Linked DNA regions of Oryzias latipes. The main gene of each other region encodes a partner of the protein of the gene in region 2 in a complex. Links are inferred from orthologs where the notes say so. Each region holds a gene or a part of one and is shown on either strand. Other genes may lie near its edges.

Region 1 (4,257 bases), on a different chromosome or scaffold from region 2:
AGACGCTTAAGGATCGGTAACGTCAAATATCTGCCACATTTGCAGAGGACATATCGGTTATCGGCCGGAAAAAATATATATCGGCCCATCCCTAATTTGTTCTCAAGAAAAAGTCAAATCTAGGGGGAAAACAACACTTTCAGGTCCAGCGAACACTAACCTGAACCTGCGCGTGGGGCTGGGTATCGGGCTGGGCGTCAAACCATTGCAGCTCACCAGGATTTGGAGCGAAGGAGAGAAACACTGCTGCTTGAAAGACAAGAACAAGAGGTCAAAGAACAAATATTAGGAGAGCCATTAAGAATCTGTCTGTAAATCAGTAGGATTTGTTCTGTTCACAAATAAACAACAAGCACATTAAAACTTAGTAGTATGGGGCCTTTTGTTCTGCTTTACTATTTGTTTGATTAATTAATCTTAGTCTTTCGTGGCAATCCTTTATATCTATTTTTTTTGTATTTTTTACAGATATTTATATATATATATATCTTTCATTATATAGCAAAATAATTCCACAATGAACTTGTCCAAAAAGACACAATTCCGAGTGGTAAATCTGTCCCTTTTTTGCTGAAAAAAAGTTACAAATATTGAGATCAAACATTTTATGTTTTAGAACAAAAGATCGAACAAGTGGAGGCAAAATAAAAATATATACCGGTAAATCCACAATCAAAGCAAAGACGAGGTCAAAACAATGTAGAAAAATATCTAAAAACCAGGCAAAGCTCCTCCGGAGAAACAAGAATTTATTCCAGGAGGTCTTACAGGTATGTAGCATAACTTTTTTTTTTTAAACCAAACATTTCAAAGCTACAAACTTTTTAAAACCTTCACATTGAATTTTGAAGGAAAGCTACGCTAATGAGGGGTATGGATTCCTTCCTGCGTCAACAGCAAATGTGAGTCCAGGGACTACTGAGGGTTAAAAAGACAGGTTCATGTCCTCTTTAAGTTCAGATTTAGGCCAAAAGGAGCCTCGAGTTGAGATGGGTGACTTTGCCAAGATGATTTCTAAAAGAGCACGGTACCTTCTTTCCTATCCCTCTGGTTGGGGACGGGGCCGGCGACACAGGCACAAAGTCAACTCGCTTTGGCGATGAAGAAGCCACTTTCTCCAAATCATTGTCACTCTGAGAAAACAGCAACACATGACATGAATGAAGGCAGCTTGAAACATACATGCTTTGGCAACTGTGGGAGTTTTATACTACCGACTCAGTCTGGCCTTGAAAGACTGGTGGCCCTGTTAGCTCCCGAATATTTCAGCGTTAATCTAGCATGTTTTTGCTTGACCCCCCTATTGTCACGGACAGACGGCAAAGAGGGCCAAAACATGCACCGAAGTCCATCATTACACTGAAAGTGTGGTTAGAAACTATCTCTTACCAGACTAAGACTTTCCTCCCAGGAGTGGCTCATTTGCATGGCAGCTTGAACTTCCCTGTGAGAGAAAAATATTAAAAGATGAGCTTAGAAACATTGGATTTTGACTCAAAAACAAGCTGTAGAGCTCACCGTTCATGAGCAGTCTCCCTGTTCATAACGTCCACTCCCTCTTCCTGCAATACAGAAAAATAGATAAGAAAACTCATTCATATCAATACAATCGTCAAACTTTTCTTTTTTTGTAGGAGTTTGGTACTACCAGTTGATCATCAGATCAATGGTCCTTTTAACTCTAGTGTTGCTCTTGCATGTTTTTAAACACCGTTAACCCTCATAATCAAAGGGAACCGGTGGTCTGACATGCTCACTCATGCACTGGGCAGTGCCCTCAGGCGCTTACTTGTTTTATTTGGTGGAGTCTGGTGCTGGGGACACGGATGGGTGACGATGGGACCTGTGTGTGGACGCGAAAGTTATTACTGTCGCTTCAAAAACGCTGCAGACAAATGCCAAGTGCAGAACTGTACCATGTTGGGCCTGTTGACAACTGTGGTGCTGTTTCTGCGACTGCGCAGAACCTCTCTGTGGAATACCTGGGAGTTATCGCTGCAAATGACAGATGGAGACCTGTTTGTATTCTCCCATGATCCAAAAGCAAGCACGTGGGCACACTTAGAAAGAAATCAACGAGGAACCTCAAGCCATTGATCATGGGAGCGCTGTTGGATCTTCTCAGATGTCCGTCGACCTGCACTAAGGAGGATGGGATCTCCAGATCCAGCTCCATCTTTTCTTGGGGCATGACTCCGGAGTTGTTCATGTTCCTGGAAGGGGCCAGTCCGTCACCGATCCGTGAACGTCAAATGGCCGACTGGTTCAGTAATGCCACATTACTGACGTCCTACCCCAGCTGCTATTACATGATTAAAATGTGCTATCAAACCGGGATACAAAACCAACGACAGCAACTCACAGAGGCCCCCCTTCGTCCGTATGGGCGCACGAACTAAAGAGTTTGACCATACAGTGGGATACTAATTTTAGCGCAATTTACGGCGACGTCTAAAACAGCCTGTGTTATCATTACACGGAGTGCTACAAGTAGTCACAACTTTGCAGCGTGATGGCTAGCACGCCAAGGCTACATACCACACAATGCCCGTTACTTAGTCTGCGAGGCAGAAGCGGTTGGCGAGCTACAACTTCATGTTAGCGCCTTAAAATGAGCTAGCGCTAGCCAAACTAGTCAGGCAGCAGCATTCAGTTAAACCAAATTTAAGCAACTCTAAAGCGCAAACATTGCTTTCAAATGACGAGCATAGCTTCTATAGCTAACTGCTTACTGTGAGACTGAGAGCCGAAAGAATGGTTCAGCCATAACCAACAGCAGTGAAACCTAGCCCAACGAGCTAGCATGCTAAGCTAGCATTGACCCCAATAGCTTCAATACATATTCTATGGATGGATCGAAGCTGCGACACAGATTCACTAAACATTTTTATCCGTAAAAAAAATTCTTATAGAATTAACTGAGCTAATAAGTGTAGTGAAAAATTCCCCAAATTTTATGTTTCGTTTCTGCGAGCCGCCAACCACGAATGAACTAGAATCCCAGATCACACAGGAGCTGGCAAAAAAAAAAAAAAAAAAAAAAAATCCACGCCCCTTTTTTTAATGTTAATGTCCAATGAAAACGCTCCATTTGCCGGCGCGAGGACATTCTGGGACCAAACCATGGAATGTACCAAGCACTGTACCTGGAGGACAAATATTTCCCAGAAAATCATCGATTACGCCACATTAGTTAAGCTTTACTCATTAACTGTCGTGTCCATAAAACAGATATATCTTTTTTTAAAATAAAGTGAGGATGTCCCCGTCAAAAAAAATATATAAAAATAATGTAATAATTTGTTTTATTTGATAAACACCCAGCTTTTATTGATATAGTTGTTCAGCTGTTTCAACATGTTACATTTCTAAAGCTAATTTTGCATTTAGCTTTTTACGCTTCTTTTGCTTAACTTTAGTTGCTAACTTTTCACAACAATTTATAAAGCTAATTTAGCATCTAATTTATGCATCTGCAACTTCCCAATGAACTGTTCGTTATTATAACGTTTTTTTTTATATTTCTCTTGCCAAACATAAGTATAAAGCATTTAAGTCGATTTGTTTAACTCATTCAGCATCAAATTTTTACATTAGCATTGCTAAACTTTTAAAACAATTATTTTAGCAAATTAAAAAAAAAACAATTCTTGTGCAATGCTGAACATTTATAATTTTTCCAGTGATTTGTTCTGCTTTATGTTTGTGTCTGTTATCAGACAGGTTTAAATTTTCCTATATGTTCAAATCATATGGTTTGCTGTCAGGTTATTTCACATCAATTTGCTCAGCTAATTTAGCTTTTGCTACACAAACATTGTTTTTATATTTTCTAAACCTTTATTTTCAAAATCGTTTACCTTTTTCTTTTGCCAAAATCACGGAGCCCCTAAAGGGTAATTGAAGGAAATTTTTTTTTAACTTCAATTGTTTGTTTGACCAGTTACTAACAGCCATTAATACAAATAAATGGCTTTAGTCTGTCGAAAGAATCCATATGCCAAATATAATTTAGACCCTTTTTTGAAACAACCACATTACTTTAAAACTCGTTTAAGATGACGTTCAGAGATGATGTAATTGTGACGGTACGCAGGCAAAGCTGCAATCTCTTTGTAGACAAGTCAAAAAGCAAAGTAAAACTCAATTAGCTCACAGAATGCCATTTCCAGGTAACTTGGGAACATTTCTCTGTGCGCAAATTACCTAGTAACAGTTGTGCAGCCGTTACTGACGGGTGCGCAGCCGATACTGACT
Region 2 (4,588 bases):
TCAAAATAATCTTTATTAACAATTTGGGAATCAAAACATAGTTTTGCAACACAAAGGGCACAAATAGCAGTCAAAGAAAATACATCATTTTGGAGTTTTTTTAATAACACAATCATTTCGTTTTTGGGGGAAATTGCATGTTCATAAAAGGAAAACTTCAAACTTCATTGTAAACCTTTTTTGCACGAATGAATGCAACATGGTAATCATCAAACAAAAAGAAAAAAACACAAAAATGCAATTTCAACCAATGTAATTTTTGAAAATGTACTTTTTTTCCCCCCTTGACATTCACACTTTTGTTGCATACTGTATGATGTTTATGAATAAAAAAAAAATTAAAAAGAAAAAAGGACCCACAGTAAGAAATCACGTATAAAAAAAGAAAAATACAAAGCATATTCCTATTAATTAGAAACTTAAAAACATGGGGAGGAAAAAGTAAGAGCATCAGCAGATTGTATTTTTCAAATGGGTTCCAAGTTTTTAAACCTATAAATTCCTTTTGAGTTTTTAATTGATTCATCCTACTTTGCAATTTCACAAAGAAAATGGGTAAAAAGGTTTGTGATGGGTATATTTATATTTGAAAAATAATTAATAATTGTGGGGGGTTTCTGGGGGTAACGACTTCACCTTAAAAACAAATTCGATTTTGCAGATTTTGTGAACCACCTTCACATTTTTAGTAGAACCATCTGGAGGGGCAACAAAGCCAACATTACCAACAACAAAAATCTGACTTTTGAGACCAGAAAAATGTAGCTGTGTGGTCAAGGCTAAACCTTTTTTAGGTTTTAAATTTTTCTATTATATATTTTATTTAAAGTATTTAATTTGCTCAGCTAGCATATTATATTTTATACCATCAGACCAGTTCTAATTTTTAAAAACTTACTTTTTTCTGCTAATTTATCTTAAACTTTTAAACTTAGCTGTTAAATATCTTGCAGGTTAATTAAATGCAATCAAAGACGTTTTTGCAGTAAACTTAGTTTTTCTAATGTTAAGCATGAACATGCTAAAGTATAACGGAGCAGTAAAAGTATCAAACAGGTCAGTGTGACCATTGGTTTAATCCAGATGTCTGCTGACTGAAGCTCCAAAACGAATTTGGCTCTCTGGTTACAGAAAAATAAAACGTTTTTAATTTAAATAAGTAACTGTAAAGTAAAAAGAAAAAAAGCAAACTGACTTAAATGACCTCATACACAAACAGTTGAAGAACAGTACGCATTAACAGGTTGAACGAAAACGTTATGCCAGATTTTTGTGCGCCATGTACCACAGAAAATCAACTGGAGGTCAGTGAGCAAAACCAAAATTAAGGTGCACCGGATTATGAGGCCTCAGGGTGTCTTTTATTTTGAAAGGATGTCATGTCAACCTCTGTCAAAAGTTATAAACTATTTCATATTTTGAAAAATATATATTTTCTCTGTATGTTAATCTTTTTGTATGCAAAAAAAAATTATGTTTATCATAACAATAACATAAATACATATCGGTGTCCTATTTTTTCTAAACGATGAAGTCATATTTTTTGGTTCTGTTTAAGTATTAAAGGTTGCAGAGCCCTGCTTTTAGGCCTTTCTAATCTTTGACAAAACATCCGTCATGCGCGTGCACATTATAAAGAGGGTTTGGTTCACGTGCGGAAGAGACTCGAGGGGAGTTTGAAGAATTGACTTCTGGGATGCGGAGCAGCCGGCGGCAAGAGAGCGCGAGACACCAGCACCACCGCGGGGGAGTGAATGTTTCCAGGAGCAGCAAAGAGACGAGCGGGAACTCCGAACCGCGCAGTTTGACTTAAACACACACATTGTTCTGCTTTGCTCGGTGAACAGAGGCTGAGTGGAGGAGGGGGGGGAGGGAGGAAAAAAAAGTTAAGATCCCACGAATCAGCGCGTGGGAGTGGGAAGCAGGATCGTGACCAACTGACTGAGGCAAGCTCCACTGTCTGTCTCGCCATGGCAGGTAATTCGTCTGGACTGTGTTAAACGTTCTGAAAAAAAATGTTTTTTTTCATTGTTAAAACGTCGTTTCTTGGTCGTCTCTGCGTTCCGGGAGTCAGGTTTTATTCACCCACCAGTTCATTTCTGTTTTAGCTAACGATAGCTAGTTAGCCGAACTTGGCTAGTGCTAACCTAAGCTATTCACAGAACTCGACTGTCCTCGCGCAACAACAGAAACATTTGCCGGTTAAAGCTAGCTTACCAGTTACCGTTACAGCTGTTTTGCTGTTATCTACACAAATAGGTTGCATTACTAACCTGATAATGATATGCATGGCAGTTTAGCCAAATCTGTTAATAATTTTGTGGCACCGGCATGAAATAGTGTTAAGTTTTTGTAGCTAATGGCCGAGTATTTCGCTCGTACACGGAGGTTTTCTTTTGGTATACTTCTGTGCAAACCTCTTAATGGAATAACAACACACAAGGCTGCGAGTTATTAACCCAAACGTTAGGGCAAGCTCAAAGTAGCGCCACAGTTCTCAAACATGCATCGGCTAGCTTGGCAAGCCGTCATTGCTAGCTTTAGCGCAAACTTTGACATTGCTCACATGCAGGCTAGCAGGCGGGCCCACTGAGCTCTGAGGGAAATGTTCACGCAGTTTCTGCTTCAAAGGCTACAAGAGGCGCGGGATAACGACCATTTCATCTGTAGAGAATGCTCAGACTTTCTCTGCGATGTTTTTCATTCATTTGTTAGCTTTACTTTAGTAGCGAAGTATTGTGATTCCAGTGGGTGGGGGGGCCTCACCCCCCACCCCTATAGCAGACTTTGATTTTAAATTTGGTTTTAAAGGCATAGCAGAAACGTCAATCATGGAAAGTGTGGAATGCTTGCACGTCGTCCATTTTTTGAGTGACTCACATTTTTAGACAAATGCATTGCACAAGACTCCCCAATAAAACATTTGAGATATTTTGTTCCTCCAGTGAGTGTTTTGACTCTTTCTGGTGTGTATGCACAGAAATGATTGTACCTGCTTCCTTTGGGCTTGTTTATCCTACAAAATGTACTCTGTTAAAGTATGTGCTGCTACGTCAACCTGCTTTAAGGTGACTGTTGGAAACATTCGGTTTCAGTTTTGTAAGTGGCCACAATGATTGCAGTGCCAGAATTGTTCATGTATGTTGAGTTCCTCTTAAACCAGGCCTCAGCATGACCGCTGTTAACCAGCTACAAGACCTAAGATGAAGAGAACAGTCTAGCAGTTACTGACTGCACCCACTTTTATTGTAATTAAAAGATCATGTAGTTTTATAGCTGTGAGTTGACTCACTGGAACAGAACTGGTTTTGCAGGTGTAGACTGTCTCGAGTAATAGTGGTGTATCTTAATGTTTTAAGATATAGCTTATGTTATTTGCACATATTTATGTGGGACCAAACACAAAAAACTGATGGAAATTCATGTTGGCTGCATGTTTAGCGGACAGATGCACATTCCTGCATTACCGGCACAAATTTTAAGTACGGCCAAGTCTAAATGTTGTGGTTGGTCGCGTGTATTAACCTAATCCTAACCCTTCATCCGGGTCCGTGCAACCAAAGAAAAAGTCAGCTCTGGCTGCGTGTATTTTGAAAATTCTGTGTGAATGATCACTTTCTTAAAAAAGATGCTGCACAGTTTTCTACCTAAGTGGTGGTGCATGTGTGCACGTATGATCATTAAAATATTGCGGTAATGGTCAGTGGAATCATTGTTAGACCCTGGATCTCAGACAGGTCCCAACACTGATCTTTTCTGAAGTAATTCATGAATATTATTGAGCACAAGTTCTAACTGCTGCCACCAGGGAAGAGATGCAGGTCCTTCAGAGCCAGGACCAACAGACTTGAAAAAGTTTTTACCCATGCTCCATCAGGCTCCTTAATGATACTGTCAACACCCAGTCACCCTTTATGTATGGATTTGTACTTTTTTGGTTTTTAATATGATTTTCTTGCACTTTGGCATGTTGGCCACTTTCAATTCTGTCTTGCTCCTTGGCAGATGACAACGAAGTGTGTCATTCTTAAAAAGCATTTTTCACTAGGTTTAGAGCAATATTAAGTCAATAAAATCTTCTTCAGTTAAGTCATTCTGGTGTTTGAAGCAGACGGCAAGAAGAGTCACTGAAGATAATCCACTCATTTTTCTCTTCTCACAGCACCTGGAGGTGACATGCAGTGGTGCTTCTCTCAGGTGAAAGGAGCCATCGATGATGATGTCGCTGAAGGTACGAAGAACCATTTGAAATACAGTTTTGTTTAGAAAAATTAAAAATACAGGTATAACAATTTATTTTCAACAATTATTTGATTCATATCATTTGTAGTTGCGATACGAGTCATAGTGTATATTTGTTCAATTTAAATGATCCGATTTGATCAAGAATTAATGGCAAATTCATTCACATTGTCATAAAGTTGTTTTCAACATCAAAATAATAAAAAAGGAACACGATTAGAACATTCTACCACACTGAGTGGTCACATGTCTTTGCAGAACTCTGTTTCCACACGTTGGACTAGAATGATGGACTGATCATTTTTTGCTGCATCACATGTGTACTGTCTGCTGTAATGCACAAACT
Region 3 (3,709 bases), on a different chromosome or scaffold from region 2:
CAAGCTCTCAGTATTTGGACGGGAAGAAGGGTGGGGTTGCTCCACGGCAAATGTTCAGGCCAAACCTCAGAAGCGAAATTCTACTGAACTATTAAATTTTTTTTTTATTATTTTGGCTTAAAAAAAATGGCATCTTCATAATTAAAAGACCACTAAAAATGGTTTTACAATGGATCAAAAGATAAACAGAGTGGGTCTTTAAGTAATGCTTCTCTACAAAAATACAGTTTTCCCTAACTCCACCCACTATAACCACCGCTTTTGATACTTGTCAACTAGGTAGACCTCAGTTTATTATCTTAGTCATAAATAAATAGTTACTTCTGTTGTACTTGTGCAAAATACGTCTGACTTGCAAATTGTCATATACATATATTTTAAAGACAGAATTAGTAAAATATTAAATCTGACAATGAAGTAACTAAAGTATCTTCTTAAAACACTGAAAAAGGTCCCAGTTGTCCTTTGCCAGCACTGCAGCCCTGCAATTTCAAAACAAAATTTGCAATAACTGAACACAAAGACCATCAAATGCAAGATATTATGCAAAACTATTTTATTTACAAAACCAATGGCACAGTTTATATGCACAGCCAATGCACTTGCACACTATAAACATGTTCTGGGAAGTTCTTCTCATAAAATTGTTAAGCATTTCTAGTCAGAGAAAGTCACTTCAGGCAAGAATCAACAACACAAATTCTCGCTGATGGAGCAAATATTGCTCAGGAGCAACAACGGTTTCACTGCTTTAAAGGTCAGTAGATTTGAATGAGATGGAGCGCAAAGCAGCAAGTCATCGCAAAAAACAATGTTGGGGAGCATGAAGTGGACACAACTGGCTAAATTTCACTCGCTTTAAAGCACACAATTAAATAAAACCACACAATCAGAAAAGTACATAACGTGGACAAAAGAGAAGAATTGTGAAATTTTTCCTGTAGGAAATTTTAATGAACTACTCGATTCCTCAATTAGTAATAAACACAGGAACGTATTTGGCTTAATAAATTTTGTTCTTAAAGCCGAAAGCAAAACCTGAAGAAATGTAAACGGCATGCAGATATAAAGTGAAATATGGAATGGTAGCAAAACAGTGAAAGTAAAACCCTCAACCAGCAAGTTTGCTCGTCACCATGCTGGTCTTTCTGTGAGGCAGATCCTGAGGCGTTGGGATGTGCCCCCCTGTGATCTCAGTCTTCTCTGCTGGGGCAGACGGCAGCTGCTTGTTCTTCATTTTTGCCTTGGCCATATTGTAATCACCAGAGTCAAAGTATTTTTGCTGGAAACAGAGATAAATGCATATATTAGAGATCCGGGGCCAAAAAAAAAAAAAAAGGAGGAATGGAAGGAGTTGAATCCCAGACTCACCCCTCCTTTCTGAAGTCGTTTCCTGAGAAAATCTGAGCCCCCTGGTTTGGCTCCAAGGTTGGGATACCTGGCCTTCAATTTGGCCTCCTCTGATTTTTCTGGACTGATCACGGTTTCCTCCATTTCCTGTTGGAGGGGGGTGGATCCGACAACAACCAGAAAATCTTTTTTAAAATTAGGCATGAACCTGGTTTAACATGAGTTAAGTCAACGAGATGTTATTCTGAAAGATGCCTCTGAATGTGAGGAAGAAGTCAGGAGGGAAAGTAAACATAGATGTGCAGAAAGCTAGCATTGATCTCGAGGCAAGCTAGCGTGGCTAACTGTAGCAGCAGTCATTGTTAGCTTTTTTTCTTTAAATGCACCACTCAAGTTTTATTAGCATCCACCCAAGTCAAACAATCTAACTTTAACCTAAAGTCAACAAAAACCACAAAATTGCTCAAATTACAAACCATATTTTTATTTTACATTTCTGACCAGCTAAGCAACACAAAGCTAGCCCACAGGCTAACTTTGTTACCGCCTGCTAATTCTCCCCGATTTGAACAGCAGCTAGCTACTGAGTTAGTATAAAACATGTCTCCGCTAGAATCTCCGTTAACCTGCTGTTCGTCTGAAGCCTTCGTCTCGTCATTTTCCTCCGACATCGCTGCCCCGATAGCCTCGCTGTGAGCGCTCAGATGAATATGCAACCCGTGGGTCCGCTTTAGTGATTTGTGGAGGATGTGACTGTGAGGCAGCAGTTACCCCAGCAGCGAGGGCGGCAGACAGCCTGTCACTGTCACGCACGCAGGCCCTCCTCTCCAGACAGGACGCTAAATCGAGACCAGAGACTCATGCGGCACTGATCAGACTGATCTGATCACTGTGGTGGATTATTTATTTAACCGTCATTTACAAAAAGAAAGAATAAATGATAAACTTGAAATGGTTGTTTTGGAATGTATTTATAAATATGCGCACTTACCTTTCTCTATATCTGAAATGGGGCCTATTTTATAGCCAAGTTGTGTTAATGTTCTGAATATCCTTTATTTACAATACAAACTTACATGTGCAATGCAGAAAATGTATAAAGCGAGGGTGCATAATCATACATAATAGTCAAATCTAATTACAAAAACTATTCCTAGAAAAGAAATCTAAAGTATAGCTGATATTAGGTTTTCTATTCTTAATTTGAGCTTCTTTTAGATAAGGGCTCTGCAACCTGCGCCTCATGTGGCTCTTTTAACACTCTGCTTTGGCTCTCGGGCTAAAAAAAAACAATTTAAGATAGTAATTCTAAAAGTAAACCTTACTTAGTCATTGATAAAAAAAGAAATGTATGGCTGAAGTCCTTCTATTGCAGTAACATTAGGCGCACAGGTTTGTAATCCTGAACAAAACTTGAGTAAAATGTCTGATCTTCTGCATTAGTTAGTAAGGAAAAGGAAAAACATGACAACACTCAAAAGTGGTTTAACAAGAGAAAAAAAAAAGTGTCTGTTCAAAAGTCGTCATTGGATTACATTTCCTGCAATGGGACGATCTTTTTTTGCTCAGGGTGTCTAATTATAAAAGGAATTTATAAGACCCTTTGTTAAAAATTATTATAATTTTATATTTAGAAAAACTTTTGTGTATGTATGTATGTGTGTGTGTGTCGTAAAATCTTCTTCAAAGGCTAAGTAAGACTGTGGCTCCTACAGGGATCAGTGAGAAATTGTCCCAAATGGCTCTTTTGCAGATCCCTGTTGTAGAAGTTATCACAGTGAAAATATGTTTACTAAGATCTTTCATGACAACCCTCAGCATTTATCCAAACTTGGGACCGCCACATTAAAGCACTGCACCTGCACTTGTGGATGCATTATTTGGCTTCTTGGTGTACACTTAAAATATTTTGTGTATTCTTACCCTTTTTTTTCCAGAATAAAACCTTTACAGATACTGATCAAATCAGGCAAGTAATTCATGTTCCTGGCATTTCTGACAGATATATCAGTCATAAAACTATGATACCCACTTGTGAACATTGTGCGGGTCTATGGGAATCACGATAAACTAGATCCAAAAAGCTATGAGAGCAAAAAATAGCTTTCTAATAATTTCAGAATCTAGGTGAACTCTTAATTCCCTCTTCAGACGGTCCATGCCAAACACCATTTGGAAGATTCCCCTCCTCTGTTAAAGCAGAGTACATGCAAAGCTCCGTTTCAACATGTGGATGGTGAATGGTTGGCAAAAATGTTTGGGTTTGAAACAATGCACGAGATGAGCACTACCAAGTTATAAATATTTGTCAATAAATTATTTGGGGTATTTATCAAACAAACTTTTCTCAGTTTTCTGT

Evidence for each region.
Region 1: the proteins of serine/threonine-protein phosphatase 2A 55 kDa regulatory subunit B alpha isoform (region 2) and fam122b are in contact, whole or in part, in a cryo-EM structure (PDB 8SO0), measured with the Homo sapiens proteins. The link is inferred for Oryzias latipes from reciprocal best matches to the Homo sapiens genes PPP2R2A and PABIR1. Residues at the interface, in NP_002708.1 of Homo sapiens: Phe84, Leu87, Lys88, Ser89, Leu90, Tyr178, His179, Asp197, Met222, Glu223, Leu225, Thr226, Glu227, Val228, Tyr337, Asp340, Phe343; in NP_612206.5 of Homo sapiens: His81, Ser82, Ser83, Arg84, Leu85, Ile88, Lys89, Glu92, Arg99, Glu100, His103.
Region 3: the proteins of serine/threonine-protein phosphatase 2A 55 kDa regulatory subunit B alpha isoform (region 2) and arpp19 are in contact, whole or in part, in a cryo-EM structure (PDB 8TTB), measured with the Homo sapiens proteins. The link is inferred for Oryzias latipes from reciprocal best matches to the Homo sapiens genes PPP2R2A and ARPP19. Residues at the interface, in NP_002708.1 of Homo sapiens: Lys18, Gly19, Ala20, Asp23, Asp24, Asp29, Ile31, Thr45, Asp47, Gly49, Arg51, Val53, Phe55, Val73, Thr76, Gln78, Glu81, Pro82, Glu83, Phe84, Leu87, Lys88, Ser89, Glu91, Glu93, Tyr178, His179, Asp197, Leu198, Asn221; in NP_001293124.1 of Homo sapiens: Lys42, Pro43, Gly44, Ser46, Phe48, Leu49, Arg50, Arg52, Leu53, Lys55, Lys58, Tyr59, Phe60, Asp61, Lys75, Pro93, Asp97, Leu98, Pro99, Pro103, Leu105, Val106, Ala107, Ser108, Lys109, Leu110, Ala111.

Annotation. Positions count from the first base shown.
Region 1 is NC_019868.2:26,636,581-26,640,837, reverse strand, and holds the start of fam122b (protein FAM122B), read right to left. Parts: upstream 3,023-4,257; 5' UTR 2,210-3,022; coding exon 2,085-2,209; intron 1,996-2,084; coding exon 1,917-1,995; intron 1,844-1,916; coding exon 1,790-1,843; intron 1,563-1,789; coding exon 1,519-1,562; intron 1,445-1,518; coding exon 1,390-1,444; intron 1,343-1,389; exon of another isoform or gene 1,193-1,342; intron 1,134-1,192; coding exon 1,032-1,133; intron 247-1,031; coding exon 161-246; intron 1-160. UniProt on the Homo sapiens protein: Acts as an inhibitor of serine/threonine-protein phosphatase 2A (PP2A) activity. Inhibits PP2A activity by blocking the substrate binding site on PPP2R2A and the active site of PPP2CA.
Region 2 is NC_019870.2:24,073,844-24,078,431, reverse strand, and holds the start of serine/threonine-protein phosphatase 2A 55 kDa regulatory subunit B alpha isoform, read left to right. Parts: upstream 1-1,665; 5' UTR 1,666-1,970; coding exon 1,971-1,977; intron 1,978-4,162; coding exon 4,163-4,231; intron 4,232-4,588. UniProt on the Homo sapiens protein: Substrate-recognition subunit of protein phosphatase 2A (PP2A) that plays a key role in cell cycle by controlling mitosis entry and exit. Involved in chromosome clustering during late mitosis by mediating dephosphorylation of MKI67.
Region 3 is NC_019864.2:15,338,530-15,342,238, reverse strand, and holds arpp19 (cAMP-regulated phosphoprotein 19), read right to left. Parts: upstream 2,181-3,709; 5' UTR 2,022-2,180; coding exon 1,977-2,021; intron 1,498-1,976; coding exon 1,372-1,497; intron 1,283-1,371; coding exon 1,112-1,282; 3' UTR 534-1,111; downstream 1-533. UniProt on the Homo sapiens protein: Protein phosphatase inhibitor that specifically inhibits protein phosphatase 2A (PP2A) during mitosis. Inhibition of PP2A is enhanced when ARPP19 is phosphorylated.